4 linked regions of the Macaca mulatta genome follow. The protein of the gene in region 3 interacts with the protein of the main gene of each other region in a pairwise test. Links are inferred from orthologs where the notes say so. Each region holds a gene or a part of one and is shown on either strand. Other genes may lie near its edges.

Region 1 (3,561 bases), about 100 Mb from region 3:
GTACCAGTCCACATACTATGGCTCATTCGTTACCCGGGCGCTCCTGGACTCTCAGTTCAGTTACCAGCATGCCATTGAAGAATCTGTCGTTCTCATTTATGGTTAGTAGGAGGTTTATTATTCTTTTTTTCCCTTAATATTATTACTACTATTTTTGCTTTCTGTCTTTTTTGCCTCTATGAGCAGTCTGGCAGGCCTTCTCAAGTAAATACCAACCCTGTTTCTGCAGCAGCCTCAGCAGCAGCTCAGTCTAGACAGGGTTTCCTTCTTTCTGTTTATTTTTCTTGCTATCAGAGCCCTGATGTGTACATTTTGGAATGCTGGAGTAGCTGCTTCATTTTTATTCCTCCATCTCCCCTCCCTCATTGAAGGGGCTGGTGGAACTAGACCAGATGTCTTAACAAACCCCGATTGCTAGAGTGTCTGGCTCTGTACGTGACTGACCAATCATAATACAGTGTGCCAAGTTTTTTTTATACCTCTGACAACAGTGTACAAAACCTGGACTGTTTCTTAGCACAAAGATTTTTTTCTTTTCGGCCTATTTAATGGTGTTTCCTCAAGCTCTCCAGACCAGATGTTCTGTGCTGTATCAGAACTGTAGGCAATTTAACAGCTTTATAGCCTTCCCCCTCCCCAAACACTCACAGTTTGCCATATCTGGCAGACTTGCATATAGTTTCCAGCTGAGAAGTAAATGTAACGTCCTGAGTATCTGTCAGAAAAAATACTAATGAATACGATCAATCTTATGAGCTGCCCCAAAATTGTTTCAGTATGTTAACAATTGGATTACAGTAAAGAACAAGTTGTTAAAGTGTACTTATATTGGCTGGAAACATTGCATCATCAGACCTTGATGAATTTTCCACTTGTTTCAATCTATTTTGGTTTTCATTTTATCACCTATTGCAAAAAGTTTCACTGTGTTAAGTTTCAGACAACATGAATGTTAACACAGGTTTTAGGCGAATATTGGCATGCCAGAGCTGTTATCATGCAGCAAGTGCTAAGCTCCCTTACGCATGGAGTGTTTCAGCGGTTAGTTTTGACAAAATTAGTTTCTCCAAAAAGACACTTCTGTGATAGCAGTTTGACTTGAATGGTTTTTACAATCTGTTTTAACGAAGAAATGTGAACAGTGATTATTAGGATGGATACATTTTGTGTGCAGGGCTATTCATTTTAAGTTGAATGAAGAGCTACCCAAGTATATGCAGTGGATTTTCATGTTTAATATTTATCAGTGATTTCCTAATTATACAAGATGTCTAGAACATATGATACATTTAATTTTCAGCAAGATTACTGATTCTTGCTGAGGAATGAATTTGAAAATAACTCTTGTATGTTTAGTTTTTGACAGAGGAAATTATCATAAGTAGCATAGATAGAGGTATTCCTGCATTTTCGAGTGCTACTTGCTATATAGTGGTTTGAGTCGGCTTCAAATTGTGTTCTGGTTGTTTATTTTGATCTTTATTTTGCAAAGATTGTGTGATATGCAACAGAATGTGCCTAGAACCAATGCTCTTCAAGCATGGTAGTGACAAAATTCTTAGTAATTTGTTTCTCTTTCCTTGTTTGAGATCCCATAAAAACTGCCCAAGGGTCTCTCTCACTAAAGGCTTACAGACTGACTCCTAAACTGATGGAAGTTTGTAAAGAAAAGGATTTTTCCCCTGAAGCGTAAGTGTTTGGGGGCATCTGGTAAAGGGTTGGGTATTTTTCTGTTAAGATTTTTCTTTGCCACGTCTCTTGCATCCTCGGTTGTGGTGCAGTAATGCTTTTGCCATGTGGACTGTAGAAGTTTTCTGCATGCCAAGTGCTGCTTGCTCTATCCCTTTCCGTGTTTAAATTATTCTTTAGGGAATGTCTCATCTGTTGTTCTCAGCAAGGGTGAATTCAGTTAGAATGGGAATTAATTAGCTACTGGATTCGAAGAAATAAATGATTGAATAAAGGGAGGTGGAAAGAGTGATCAGTGGCTGTCCGATTGTAAGCTCTGTGTCAGACTGGTTGTGAGCTGTGTGTCTTATTTTCCGAACCCTTGTTTAATGAGGGGGTGGGAAAGATATAAATATTTTAAGAATTTGTTAAAGAATGTGGCTTATTGGCAATTTTATGGGTGACAGGTATGCAGAGAATTAATGGATGGAGCTGTTTTGGGATCCTATTCAATGGCATTGTAATATTTACTTTAAATCAATTAAATACTTAGAATTCTTCCATTTTCTGTTAATTATAGAAATTTTTAGTTCCTGTTGAATCAAAATTAATGGCTTTGACTTCATGCAGGACAGTTCATCTCTAGTTTCCCATTTGGCTCCTAAAAAGTTAAGGTACAGAGAATTTTAAAAGAAAAATCCTCATGGACAATTCCTGGATGTGGTAGCTATAACTAAACTATGAGAAACTGTGTTCTTGGCGTGTTCTAACTATTGTATCTGGAGTCTCCTTGAGTGTTCTGCTACTTGTTAAACTCTTAATTGAAGAGGCTTTTAAAATGAACTTTTCAAGAAATAGAGTATTTCTCATTTCTAGCTATTTTAAATTAAGTTGTAGATGTAGGTTGTGTAGCATAACTTACTGTGACATTTACATTTTAGTATCAGTGAAATTTTAAAGATACCTGATTACAAAGAATGAGTAGTTTCTTCTGCCAAGAATCTTATTTTCTGGGCTTTAGCTCAAATTCAGATCATTTTCAAAGTTACTCAAATGACCTAACTTATGTTTGACTCTGTAAAACTCTAGTTTCTCTACTTTTTTTTTTAAAGAGTGTTAATGAAACAAAGATCTTGGATAGGGCCTATAATTAGGTAAATTTTATGAAATAGTCAATTTAGCACCTACTTTTGACCATCAGACTAAAGTATTTTTAACATGCTTCACAGTTTGAAAAAAGCAAATATCACCTTTGAGTACATGTTTGAAGAAGTGCCGATTGTAATTAAAAATTCACATCTGATCAATGTCCTAATGTGGGAACTTGAAAAGAAGTCAGCTGTTGCAGATAAACATGAGTTGCTCAGCCTTGCCAGCAGGTAAGTGGCCCTGCCTAATCAAAAGTCCCATTTTTTAGAACTTTCTGCAAAAGATTCTTTCACATAAACTTTACCTGTGAAACAAGAAAACAATTACTTAAGAACATTTATAGGTTCTTAAAACCTGTATAACATGGAGTAATAGTGTGGCCTTGTTAGGATCTCAGGGAAAAACGCCAAACTGATCATATGAAACGACACATTGTTTGAATACCAATTGCTCATATTAGAAGAACCCTCTGCTGCCTTCTTTGCTGTATCATTTGTGCTTTGATAAGGTCAGTGCCCATGAGGGAGGGCTTTTTTATATGGCTCAGCTTTATTTCTTGTACACGATCCTAAGAGGCTTAGGGTATTATGTCTGGATGTTTAATAATGCTCAGGAAAAGAACAGAAATGCGTTTTTCTTTTACTGGCTGTACTTGCCCTTGTTCAGATGCAGACTCTTGCAGTTGTAAAGTTCCAGTTGTTTGAGTTTTCAACTAAAATTTGAATTTTCTGAACCTTATACTGG
Region 2 (3,561 bases), on a different chromosome or scaffold from region 3:
GCCGACTTTATTGGCTCCATGCCACAGCAAGTTCTCTAAGCTCAGTGGGCCTCAGTTTCTTTATATGTGAAATGGGGATGGTGGTGTTTGCCTCAAAGTATAGTTTTAAAGACTAAATAAGTTATCATTATTACTATTATTTTTTTTAGAGACAGGGTCATGCTCTGTTACCCAGGCTGGAGTGCAGCAGTGCAATCTTGGCTCACTGTAGCCTCGAGTTCCTGGCCTCAAGTGATCTTTCCTCCTTGGTCTCCCAAAGTACTAGGATTACAGGCATGTGCCACTGCACCTAGCCTGAGTATGTTTTTAAGATGAGCTTACTTGCTCAGTAACAATAAAATAATATATTTTGATTTCTTTTTTTTTTTTTCCCCCCAGAAAGTCTGTTGTCAGGGATCATGAAAAAGCTTTGGGATGCAGTGTGCAAGCTTTCATTTGTTTTGTTTTCATGCCTTCAAACAAAATTTTAAAACTATCTGGGCCGGGCATGGTGGCTCACACCTGTAATCCCAGCACTTTGGGAGGCTGAGGCAGGTGGATCACCCGAGGTCAGGAGTTCGAGACCAACCTAGCCAACATGGTGAAACCCCGTCTCTACTAAAAATACAAATATTAGCTGGGCATGTTGGTGGGCACCTGTAATCCCAGCTACTCGGGAGGCTAAGGCAGGAGAATCGCTTGAACCTAGGAGTTGGAGCTTGCAGTGAGCCGAAATCACGCCACTGCACTCCAGCCTGGGCGACAAGGGCAAGATGCCGTCTTAAACAAACAAATAAACAAAAAACCTGTTTGAACTTAAACCCCAATAATAGTAGATATTTTATTTTCCAATCAGTTGTGTCTACAGAATTGTCTACAGAATGTCTTTTGATATGACAATGGCTGAGAATTCTTTGACAGGTTTTACAACTCAGATTCTTTCTCAGAGAATCTTGTTTACCTTCCATAGCCCCTTTGTTTATTGAAAACAAAATATTCTGGCCGGGCGCGGTGGCTCAAGCCTGTAATCCCAGCACTTTGGGAGGCCGAGACGGGTGGATCACGAGGTCAGGAGATCGAGACCATCCTGGCTAACACGGTGAAACCCCGTCTCTACTAAGAAATACAAAAAACTAGCCGGGCGAGGTGTCGGGCGCCTGTAGTCCCAGCTACTTGGGAGGCTGAGGCCGGAGAATGGCGTGAACCCGGGAGGCGGAGCTTGCAGTGAGCTGAGATCGTGCCACTGCACTCCAGCCTGGGCTACAGAGTGAGACTCCGTCTCAAAAAAAAAAAAAAAAAAAGAAAACAAAATATTCTTAGTTCCCTTGAACCCCAGTGTTCCTGCCATTCTGGATGTCTCTGTGCTGTGGCGTGGGGCCCTTTTTGGGGTGGGATTCCCCAGCACATAGCCTGCTAATACATAAGGAGGTGGTACTCCCATTGAGTCTATTTGGCATCAATCAGCAGGCAGGTTTGCACTGAGTAGTACTAAACCCAGCTTGCCCAAGTTATTGTGGTGGTTGTTCTTTTAAAAGCATCATCTTTTTTTGGTTTCCTGGCCTAAAATTTCAGAAGCAGGAAGTGGGGGTTGTGGATGGTGAGTATAAGAGGGGCTAAACCTGATTGTCCTGGCTTGAAGTAATAGCGGGAATAATAGATTTGTCAACTTTGATCCCAGCTGTTACCTTCTACTTACCAGCCTCTCTGCTGAACCAGTTGGAATTTGGTGGGGACTCCTCTGAACGGCTTTTCTGAGTCCTCACTCTCAGGATACTAGTAGATGTGTCCAACAAGTATCTCCCATTCCCAGCAGGGATCCTTTTGATTCTTGGCCTTCCCAAGAGCCTCAGGCCTGGGACTGGCCACTTGGGTCAAGCAGTGTCTCTAGTTTGGCATCATTGGACTACTCCAAGGAGCAGGACTCTCAGCTGTTATGAGTGATGCTAGGAGCCAGGCACAGTGGCTCACGCCTATAATTCTAGCACTTTGGGAGGCCGAGGCAGGTGGATTGCTTGAGCCCAGGAGTTTGAGACTAGCCTGGGCAACACAGGGAACCCCCGTCTCTACTAAAAATACAAAAATTAGCTGGGTACAGTGGCATGCACCTGTGGTCCCAGCTACTCAGGAGGCTGAGGCAGGAGGATTTCTTGAGTCTGGGAGGTCAAGGCTGCAGTGAGCTGAGATTGGGCCACTGCACTCCAGCCTGGGTGACAGAACGAGACCCTGTCTCCAAAAAAAAAAAAAAAAAAAAAAAAAACCAGGCCGGGCGCAGTGGCTCACGCTTGTAATCCCAGCACTTTGGGAGGCCAAGGCAGGTGGATCACCTGAGGTCGGGAGTTCAAGACCAGCCTGACCAACATGGAGAAACCCCATCTCTACTAAAAATACAAAATTAGCCGGGGTGGTGGCACATGCCTGTAATCCCAGCTACTCGGGAGGCTGAGGCAGGAGAATCGCTTGAACCCGGGAGGCGGAGGTTGCGGTGAGCCGAGATCGCGCCATTGCACTCCAGCCTGGGCAAAAAGAGCAAAACTCTCAGGCCGGGCGGGGTGGCTCAAGCCTGTAATCCCAGCACTTAATCCCAGCACTTTGGGAGGCCGAGACGGGCAGATCACGAGGTCAGGAGATCGAGACCATCCTGGCTAACACGGTGAAACCCCGTCTCTACTAAAAATAATACCAAAAAAACTAGCTGGGCGAGGTGGCGGGCGCCTGTAGTCCCAGCTACTCGGGAGGCTGAGGCAGGAGAATGGCGTAAACCCGGGAGACGGAGCTTGCAGTGAGCTAAGATCCGGCCACTGCACTCCAGCCTGGGTGACAGAGTGAGACTCTGTCTCACAAAAAAAAAAAAAAAAAAGCGAAACTCTGTCTCAAAAAAAAAAAAAAACCACTCACACACACAAAAGTGATGCTAGGGAGGCCTTTGGCAGAGAATAGACTTCCTTAAGTGTGAAGGTGGTGGTGGTTCTTCTGGAAATGGAAATCAACAGCCCTTTGTGGAGGGGCTTTTGCACAGAATACATATATGAACCATAAAGAAGTCCCATTTCCCCTCCCTAGGTTCTCTTCATACAAGAAATGGTAGTTAGCTCCATTGTTTCTCTGAATATTTTTCTTTGTTTTCTTTCTTGAAGGACTGCCACCAACTCCTGTCCAGCTGCTCTATCCAGTGTCCCGATTCAGCAATGTCAAATCCCTCCAGCACCTTTGCAGATTCCGGATACGACAGCTCGTCAGGATAGATCACATCCCAGATCTCCCACTGCCTAAGTACAATGGGGTTCTTAGGGTTGGGACAGGAATGAGTAAGGGGGTTGTGGGGAGGTAACAAATGTCAGTGAGGCCTGCAAGCTACCTTCACAGGCAGAGTCTGGCATAAAATATTTGCAGACATCATTCTTTCACATTTCTTGTGTCTTAGCACCTAACTTTAGAACTGTCATATTGCAGCCAGAGGGAGGAAGGTGTGTGTGTCAGCCTCCCTTCTGCAGTCTCTGTGAAGAATAGAGTAGAAGTGGTAAGGGTAAGGAAGACAGAACTATAATAACTGAGAAAATGGGAATTGTGTTAGGTCTCTACCAT
Region 3 (4,361 bases):
CATGGAAAGGGCCATCAGTAGAACTTGGCTGGCAACATTTGCAGGAGCAGGAATCAAGAGAGGACCCAGGAGAAAGGAATGGAGCCCAGGGGATGAAACATAGTCCAGATTCTTGCTGGTGTGTCCATGTGACTTGGTTTCAATTCCTCACCATTGTGTCACTGTGGCCTTCTAGAGAAGTCCAAACTGCTGGAAACGGGCAGTGCTTTCTGTGCTAACCCCTTCTGGTCTAACTGCTCAGCTTAGAGGAAGGAAGAAAACACTCAGAATTCTGAGAGCAAAACCCCCCAAAAAATCTACTCAAAGCACCTGAAGTTCATCCCTGGGGAGGAGAAGAAAGGAAGAGCAGATGCCCTGTATCTCCATGGGAGTACCGAGGCACAGAGCTAGGGCCGCCTAACTGTCCAGGGTAGATCTCAGAGGGTGACTCATCTGAATTGCCGATTCCAAGCACCAGAGCAAGGTGCTCCTCAAGAACTGAGTCCGGGTTCATGTCTTCTGGGACCCCTGGCTTCCCTCTTCCCACTTGAGAACTAAAACTGGGTGCTCTGCCCACCCCGCTCACCCCGCCTTCACTTCAGTGCTCTTTCCCCTCATCTGTCATCCTTGGTGACAGAGGTTGCTTTTCAGAGTGACCCGCATTCCACCACCTTCTCCCCCTCCCTGTGAAGAGCCACATTTACTGGTAGTCCCCTGGCTCATCCTCCCCTGCAGGCGGGGGATGGGGGGCAGGGGATGTGGACAGACCCCTGTTGATGGTGATGTTGGGGACTACCCACAGAACAAAAGGTGCAGCCTCAAGGGCTTGAGCGGGGGATACTGGTGCCTGGGATCAGGTAGCTGGGAAAACAGGGCAGTTACATAACTCTGTTTACTGTGGCTCAGGTGGCTCTGAGAAGGCAGAGGCAGCCCCCGACAAAGGGCAGTGCCAGAGGTGGGGAAGCGGCGACTCACAGGGAGGGAGGTCCCTCTTAGACAGGGGAGTCGTGCTTGCAAAGGGGAGAGTGCAGTGGGATTTGGAAAGGAAAGGAATCTGTTGTGTTGTTGACAGCCAGCTGGCCAGCCGCCTTATCTAGGACCATCTTCCCAGCCTTAGCCTCTCCCTAACCATGCCAGCTGTGGAGGTAGCAAGGGAAGCTGAGCTAGAGGGAGGCGTCGGGAAATCTGACACCTGGTTCCTGGCTCAATCTCCAAACCTTGCTACCTTTCCCCCCTTAATCTACTTTTCAAAGAGAACGAATTATTCTCTTTAGATAAGGGCAGAAAGGGAGGAATCAGTCAAATTTCCTTATGTTTTCCCTGCTCTGTGGCCCTCTGTCTCCCATCTTCTCGGCTGTGAGGCCAGATGGGCACCACGGAACACGGTGGATTCTGACCTGAGAGAGGTGATAAACCTGGCAGAGCCCAGGCCTAAGCAGACAGGCAGAAATCAAAGCGGCTCAGGAAGAAAGCTCAGGTCTCCCGTAGACCTTCCCCGCCTCCTCCTACAAAGCTGTTTACTCAAGTCCCGATTCCCATAGAGATGAAACTGGTGGCCAGTCCCCAGCTCCTTGCCCATGGCTGCCACCTCCCTTTGTGAGAAACAGGAAGTGGGGAATTTTGTCAGCTCAGCTGCACCCTCTACACTAAATATTTATCTTGGAGTCCAGGTCAGAGCCCTAGAGAATAAGAGAAGCTTGCTGCTGGTGAGGGGGTATGGCCAGGATTCCTGGAGTCGGAAGAGCTTCAGCTTCACCATCTTGGGAGAAGAAGGAAGAAAGTGAAAGTGATGTGGTCCTTCTTAGTCCCAAGGACCCTGACAGGTGGGAAAAATGCGTGTCTAAGAAAATGGGCACCTATTTTATCCCTGAGGGAGGGAAGAGGCTACCTGGGGTGGGTAAGCAGGTATCTAAGCTTCAGGGGAGGGGCAGTGCACTGCTGCCTCCCTCAAGAAGTGTCCCAGGGTTCCTCCCCTGCTCAGCTGTCCTCCACAGCAGTGCCCCGCAATCCCCATCTCTCCACCTTCCTGGAGAGGCAGGTTCCTGGAAGGAGTCTTGAAGGTCATCTTGTTCAGCTCCCGCTCAGTGCGACAGTTGCCTTTACATAGATGCCCCAGGATTGGCAGACTCAGAACCCCTGGAATCATGTACAAATGTTTCCTGGGAAGCCTTGGACTTGCTTCCCTATGATGTGTCCCCCAATGGTCCCACTGCTGCTGGTGCGGCTGTCTGTGTCTACATGGCAGCCCCGCAGGCGCAAGAGGCCAGCAGGCCTATCTGAAGCTTCTCAACCCAAACATCTCCTCCAGCTTTCACGTGTGATGTCCTTTCAAGGCAACTGGGGAGAACTCCTTTACCTGAAGGAGGGAGAAGATAAGACTAAAGCAGTAATGGTGGTAGGGACTGAAAATCGCTTAGTCTTTTCTCCACTCTCTTTCCTTCCAACCTTTGAGTTGAGCGGTGAGTTTGGAAAACACTCCAAAGCTCTTGGTGGCCTCTGGCACCAGTCTGACACCCAGTAGGAATGCAGGAGATGACATTTGTTTTCATAATTTAGCATTGATCACGCCCAGCTCCTATCTAAAGTTGATCAGCAACTATTTGCTGGTTGGTTGGTTTGGGGCTTGGGGATCCCTGAGCCAACCCAAGGGCTAGAAAGGATTCCAGAGTGTTTCCAGGCCGGTCAATGCTCCTTAGGCATTCCCACTTTCTGAAGCAGGCCCTGTGCCACACAGAGGCTCGGGGCAGAGACAGGGAGAGGGGATGGCCAGAGTGGATGGGGAGCAAGAGGGCCGGGGCTCTAGGGACTCAGCTCAGAGCAGCGAGAACAGCGGAAAAGCAGGCAGATCAAAACAAACACAATGTCCGGGAACACCAAGACCCTCCTAATCCCATCCCCGAAAAAGAGACCCCACCCTTATCCTCTCTAAGGGCGCGGCACGCCCAGGGGTGCCGCTCCCTTGGGCTGATTTCCTCCCTGTGCTTGCACGTGTGTGAGTGTCCCCACGTTTGCAGTGCACGCGCGCCTGTTTGTTTGCACACGCCCGGCCGCGCGCCGCCGCAGGCACACCCTCTCCCCCAGCGCCGACGGGCGGCGGGGCCTTCCCCTGGTCAACTCTGACACTCTGCCCGCGGGGCGCCCTCATCTCGCTCCCGGCCTGTCCGCCTCCCCCGGCCTGCCCAGTTCACCACTCCTGCCCCCTTGTCCGGGCTCCGCCCGGTTCACCACTCCTGCCCCCTGTCCTGGCTCCGCCGCGAGGCCGCTCGCTTCCCACACTCTGGAAATGTCGCTGGAAACTCTGAGTGGCCCGCGTCGGGCCGCCCGACCCCTCCCAGACGCCAGCCCCGCGGTAGGGGCCGGGATGGCAGCTGGGAAACCAGAGAGAGCTCCCCGGGGACCCTCGGCGGCCCCTCCCGGCGCCGCCTCCCCGCCGGCCCGGCCTCCTCTGCAGGGGACCAGTGTCCCCGCGCGCTCCCCGACGGACGGAGGGCACTCGCACGCCCCTCCTCTCCGGCCCAGCCCCGGCCCGCAGTCCAGAGCCGAGACCCAAACTCCGCCCGCCCCGCCGCGCGACTCTCACGGTCCTGCCTCCAGCGCGCACCCCCTCGGCCTCCCTCTTCCTTGTCGGGCGCCCAGCCTGGCCCGGCCCGTCCTGACCCGGTCACGAGGGCCGCGACGGCCCGCGCTTCTCCCTGCCCTTCTTCCCCGAGCGCCCGCGCCAGGCAGCAGCCGGGCAGGGATGCTCCTGCGCTCCCGGACGGCCTCGGGCCCAGCCACCTGCTCGCCCGGGAAGGTAGGTCCGGGGAAGGAGGGGCGGGGAGTAGGCGAGGCCACGGGAGGGACCCATGCCCAACCCCAGGGAACCTCACCGAGTCCCTCCCTGGGGTCCGCGTCCCAAACTCTGGGAAGAGGTGGGAAGTACCCCCCATCAGCCCTCATACCAGAAAAAGCGAAATTCAAGAAACCTGTCCTTGTACACGTGGCCTTGTGGCTGAGAAATACCTGGGTAAGCGCTTAGGGCCAGCCCCCAAGACCAGGGCAGTGTTCAGAGCAGGAAAGCCGGTGTCTGCCCCAGCAGGGCTGCCTCCCCTCTCCCGATCCCGGGACCTCGCCCGCTCCCGGGGCTGGCTGCCTGCGTGGAGGGGCGGCCTGAATTCTGGGAGGACCCCTCCGCTCTCTGCTACATGGGGGACCAGTCCCCAGATGCTACCCTCTTCCTTGGAAGTCCTCCGTAAGTCTCCTGACCAGGCTGCCAAGAGAAGAACTCGGACCACCCTTCCCTGGAGGTTCCGGGGGGGATGTCACAGGGAGCAGGGTTGAGAAGGGGCAGATGGGGGCACCAAGGGTCAGCAACCTCTGACTACAGGTCGTGGGGGACCTCC
Region 4 (4,257 bases), about 3.3 Mb from region 3:
GCCTCCTCGGGACTCAGTTTCCTCATCTGTGAAATGAGGGCTGGTTCAGTCTGTGACTCCTAATGAGTCGGTATGTGACATAATCTACTGTGAAGTGAAGGAGACTGGTGGAGCCACGGTAGAAGAAATAGAAATGAGGAAATTAACTAACCAGGGTTTTCCCACTTTCATTCCCTGACGAGAACAAATAATCATTGCTGATACGGATTCAAATGCTGAGGACTTTCCCATACTATATCAAGGGCAGCAAACCTCCAGTTATTCAAGATCCAACAAAGGAATAGCTCAGCTAACACAGCACCTTTCTTAAAAGAGAGAAATGATAAGAAGCAAGCCCACACCTGCAATTTATTCTGAACAGCAATTGCTAAAGGATCAGAGAATCTGTTGTTTTCCATGATACCATAGATTTGACCTGATTCTCACACCTTCACACTGTTCTACCATACAACTGTCTTTTGGATAACTCTGATACCTAAACAAAATAAAAAATTTTAAAGGCCTAAGATACAGCCTAAATCATAAAAATAGTAGGCCAGGCACAGTGGTTCAAAATGTAATCCCAACACTTTGGGAGGTGAATGTGGGTGGATTGCTTGAGCTCAGGAGTTCGAGACCAGCTTGGGTAACATGCCAAAACTCCATCTCTACACAAATATAAAAATTAGCCAGGTGTGGTGGCCCACACCTAGAGTCCGACCTACCTGGGAGGCTGAGGTGGGAGGATCACTTGAGCTGGAGAGTTTGAGGCTGCAGTGGGCCAAGATCGCACCACTGCACTACAGCCTGGGTGATAGAAGGAGACCCTGCCTCAAAAATGAAAAACATTAGGTCGGTGCAAAAGTTATTGTGTTTTTTTATGGCCTAAATAAATAAATAAATGTGGTTTTTGCCATAAAAAACACAACTACTTTTGCACTTACCCAATAAAATAAAAAATAAATAAAAGTATTGTGGTATGGACAGTGTAACTATAACATTAACAATACAGCTTGAATTCTAATTCTTTTAAAACAGCCAGCTCTGTGGTCGAGCTTTGTTTTCTTATTCAAACTTTATCTTATTCATCTACCAGCAAAAGAGCTGTTTTTGGAGATGAAACAAATTACCAGAGATGACAGCAATTTGGCAAGTTTTGTAAATATATACTATTCTTCAGAAATTTGAAGTTACTGTACACACAGATTTAGTATACATAGAAAATTCCACTCCTATGCCAAATCTATGCCCCTGTATGCTTTCCACTTATTTATTCACTATTTTAAAATAATGGTACCCAAGTCGTTGTTTCCATTAAACCAGCAATCAAATAAAAGCCTTTTGGGCGATGAGGAGCATCTGTTCGGAAGGGGGAGGTGCCACGCTTGCTGTTTCTCTAAGCTCCCTGGGAAGGGAAAGACAACTCAGAAAACCTACAAACTGTAGCTCCTTCCGGTGCCCGCGTAACCCCCGAGTCCAGGAGCGGGCAGGGGCGCCGCTTGGTTGAGCCCAGTGGGCACCCGGTCTGGGTCTGGGCCAGCCCCGCCGCAGCAGCCCCTGGGAGGCGGCGCTGCACGGGCCTCCGCGCGCGCCCTGACCCCACTTGGGGGCGCCCCTGGGTGCCGGCGCGCGGGGAACGCGCTGCCGGGGTGCTGCGCCGGCTGCCACTGTTTCCCGGGACTTCCCTCTTGGAAGATCTCCAGGCGCAGGTCCAGGACGTGCTCCTGCTAGGAGTCTAGAAACTCCAGTCCAGCCCGGACCCTCCCGGGGCCTGCACTCCCTGCGGGTAGAAGCACGCGCCGCGTGTCCCCGCCGGATCCCAGAACTTCCCCGAAAGTCCTCAGCTCCGGCAGACCCTCTCCCTCGAAGTTCCCCCCGCCACCCCTTGCAAGCCCCCAGACCCCGGGGACAGCCGCTCACCTAGCCAGCGGCTCCAGTCACCGGACACCGGACACCGGACACCGGATACCCGCCGCAGCCGCTCTAGCCGCCTAACCCCGCACCTGAGCCCGCCCCGGGCGGCGCGAAGGGGTGGAGGCGGGGGTGAGGCTTCCGCCCGCCCCCTCTGGCCCCTGCGCCTCCCATGCACCCCTGCAACCCCCGAGGAAATTCCCTTCCCCCTACTCCCACCCCATGCACACTCTCGCCAAAGCCTCTCCCCAACCCCAGCACCTACCAGTGCTGGGCGCCCCTGGGCAGGGTGGCCCGATCACCCGCCACATCCACTTGGCCGCCAGAAGCCGTCGGGGAAGGGAGGGAGGGAAAGGCAGAAGCGTCCCAAGCGGCGCAGGCGGGCTGAGCAAATACTCTGACCGGGACGCCAAACAGCTCCTGCAGCCGGCCCGCCCGCGCCGCCCCGCCGCGCCCACATGCCGGGTGACTAGCGGGGCGCGATCGCGGCCCCACCCGGGCGCCTGGAGGCTCTCCAGGGACAGTCGTCGGCCAGGCTGCGTGGCCTGCGCATCTCGGGCCGCCTGGTCTGCGCGCTGTCCCCGAGCTGCGGTAGTCCGGGGTAGCCTTGCTCCTCTCCTCTCTTAGTTCGTGGGACTGGGATCTGCAGTCTATGATCTCTTGGGGACTGCAGGACTTAGATTAAATCAGCAGGTCTGGGCCTTTCCATGTTTCAGAGCTCGGGGTTCCATGCGAGGTGGAGGGTAGGAGGGTGCGCGGGCCCCACTTGTTCACTCGGCTTGGGTGCCGCAGGCCAAGGCGACTCTAGAGCTTTTTTTTTCTTTCTTTTGTTGACATTAAGTAAATGATCAAACTCTTTGGCACTTGTCGGTACAGGTGTGGCTTTGTAGGACAAGATGAAGGACGGAAAAGGCTGAGAAGGAGACCGCAGTCAACACAGACCAGGAGAAAATGAAAGAAAACTGGGGAAAAAGTTAAGATGCTGAAAGGAGTCTTGTGGATTGCAACAAGAACAGGTTGGGTTGGGGCCTGAAGACATCAGGGAGGAGCTGGCAGTCCACAGTTAGAGGAAATCTTGGAGGAAAATTCAGCAGAAGCAGAGTGGAAAGGCATTTCCACTGGAGGGCATTTTCCATCCTAGAGGAGTATGTGGAAGAAAACCGCCTGCTTTGGTGAACCCCAGATTTTATGTGTTGGGAGAGATGTAATAAATAGCAAACACCAGTAGTCCTCTCCACAGACTACCTGACCTCTTCAGGAGCCTGACCTGCTGGGTTCAAACATAAAACGTCATTCCCCGCCTTTACAAACGGCAGAAGCTATGCAGTCACATCAAGCCTCGGGGCAGGCGGCATTGTCAGGAAACAAGACCCAGCTATTTAGGAACCATTCCAGGGATCCCATCAGGGAGAAATTTCTGGTCTAAGGCTTAGTTCCTACTGCAGTTTAAATGATAGCCTATGGGGTGCTTTAGGCTGGAGTGGGATTGGCCCCTGGAAAGCTACTATGGCGAGGTCGAAATGAATCCTAGCCCTGCATGGATGGATCGGTTAACTATACAGGGTGGTTTATCTGGAAAAATCCCATAGGACACTGTGACAGCCACTTACCTTTCTCATACCCAGTCTCTCTCCAGGTCCTGACAAGTCCTTCCTTATAATAGCTCTGTCACTGTGCTACTAACCTCTGTACCTCAATTTCTTCTCTGGATAGAGTGTCTGCCTCCGTAAGTTGTTAAGAGGGTTAAATGAGATACCGCATGCAAAGGGATTAGAACAGCTCTTGGCATGTGGTGAGTGTTCAAACACATTTGCTCAGATCAGTTCATATCACATTAAGGTACTATAATTCCAGGTTCCTGCTATCTCACCCTAGGCTATGGTTCTGCCCACCATGCCACTTACATTCCAAGTCATTCCCAGGGATCCCGTCTTCCTGTTATTCATACCCTTGCATAGCTCCCCGCCACTTTGTAAAGGTTGGTTTGCTTGACCAATAGAACCCGGCAGAAGTGATGATGGTATGCCACTTAGGAGATTAGGTAAGGAAACATCTTGGAGCTTCTATCTTGAAAGAATGTTAACAGCCCAAAGGAACACACACTGTACACAAATAGCACAATCAGCTCAGAACCCAGACTCTTCCCTTTTCTCTCTGCCCCTTTCCATCCTTCTTGTCTCATGCCTCTTTCCTGTATTTGGCATGATCTCTTCTTCTCTTATTTCTATAGTTTCTTCTCCATCTTCTTTACTTGGTCTACCCTCGCCTCTACCACATTCTCTTTTTGTTCCCTTTCTCCTGACTCCTGGAATTTCCTTTTAATTGGCATGGTCTGGAAGAGAAAAGCTCGATGTTTTTCCCTTAATT

What was found.
Region 1: the proteins of SORBS3 (region 3) and EIF3H interact in binary tests that used the Homo sapiens proteins (3 or more experiments, as listed by UniProt). The two-hybrid records come from large-scale screens. The link is inferred for Macaca mulatta from reciprocal best matches to the Homo sapiens genes SORBS3 and EIF3H.
Region 2: the proteins of SORBS3 (region 3) and SOCS7 interact in binary tests that used the Homo sapiens proteins (3 or more experiments, as listed by UniProt). The link is inferred for Macaca mulatta from reciprocal best matches to the Homo sapiens genes SORBS3 and SOCS7.
Region 4: the proteins of SORBS3 (region 3) and SH2D4A interact in binary tests that used the Homo sapiens proteins (3 or more experiments, as listed by UniProt). The two-hybrid records come from large-scale screens. The link is inferred for Macaca mulatta from reciprocal best matches to the Homo sapiens genes SORBS3 and SH2D4A.

The regions. Positions count from the first base shown.
Region 1 is NC_133413.1:127,045,612-127,049,172, reverse strand, and holds part of EIF3H (eukaryotic translation initiation factor 3 subunit H), read left to right. Parts: coding exon 1-101; intron 102-1,589; coding exon 1,590-1,689; intron 1,690-2,897; coding exon 2,898-3,047; intron 3,048-3,561.
Region 2 is NC_133421.1:62,662,132-62,665,692, forward strand, and holds part of SOCS7 (suppressor of cytokine signaling 7), read left to right. Parts: intron 1-3,113; coding exon 3,114-3,249; intron 3,250-3,561. UniProt on the Homo sapiens protein: Substrate-recognition component of a cullin-5-RING E3 ubiquitin-protein ligase complex (ECS complex, also named CRL5 complex), which mediates the ubiquitination and subsequent proteasomal degradation of target proteins, such as DAB1 and IRS1.
Region 3 is NC_133413.1:24,214,704-24,219,064, forward strand, and holds the start of SORBS3 (vinexin), read left to right. Parts: upstream 1-1,516; 5' UTR 1,517-1,695; coding exon 1,696-1,802; exon of another isoform or gene 1,803-2,335; intron 2,336-3,676; exon of another isoform or gene 3,677-3,718; coding exon of another isoform or gene 3,719-3,772; intron 3,773-3,981; exon of another isoform or gene 3,982-4,194; intron 4,195-4,361. UniProt on the Homo sapiens protein: Vinexin alpha isoform promotes up-regulation of actin stress fiber formation. Vinexin beta isoform plays a role in cell spreading and enhances the activation of JNK/SAPK in response to EGF stimulation by using its third SH3 domain.
Region 4 is NC_133413.1:20,954,162-20,958,418, reverse strand, and holds the start of SH2D4A (SH2 domain-containing protein 4A), read right to left. Parts: upstream 2,844-4,257; 5' UTR 2,202-2,843; coding exon of another isoform or gene 2,156-2,201; intron 2,081-2,155; exon of another isoform or gene 1,900-2,080; intron 807-1,899; exon of another isoform or gene 705-806; intron 1-704. UniProt on the Homo sapiens protein: Inhibits estrogen-induced cell proliferation by competing with PLCG for binding to ESR1, blocking the effect of estrogen on PLCG and repressing estrogen-induced proliferation. May play a role in T-cell development and function.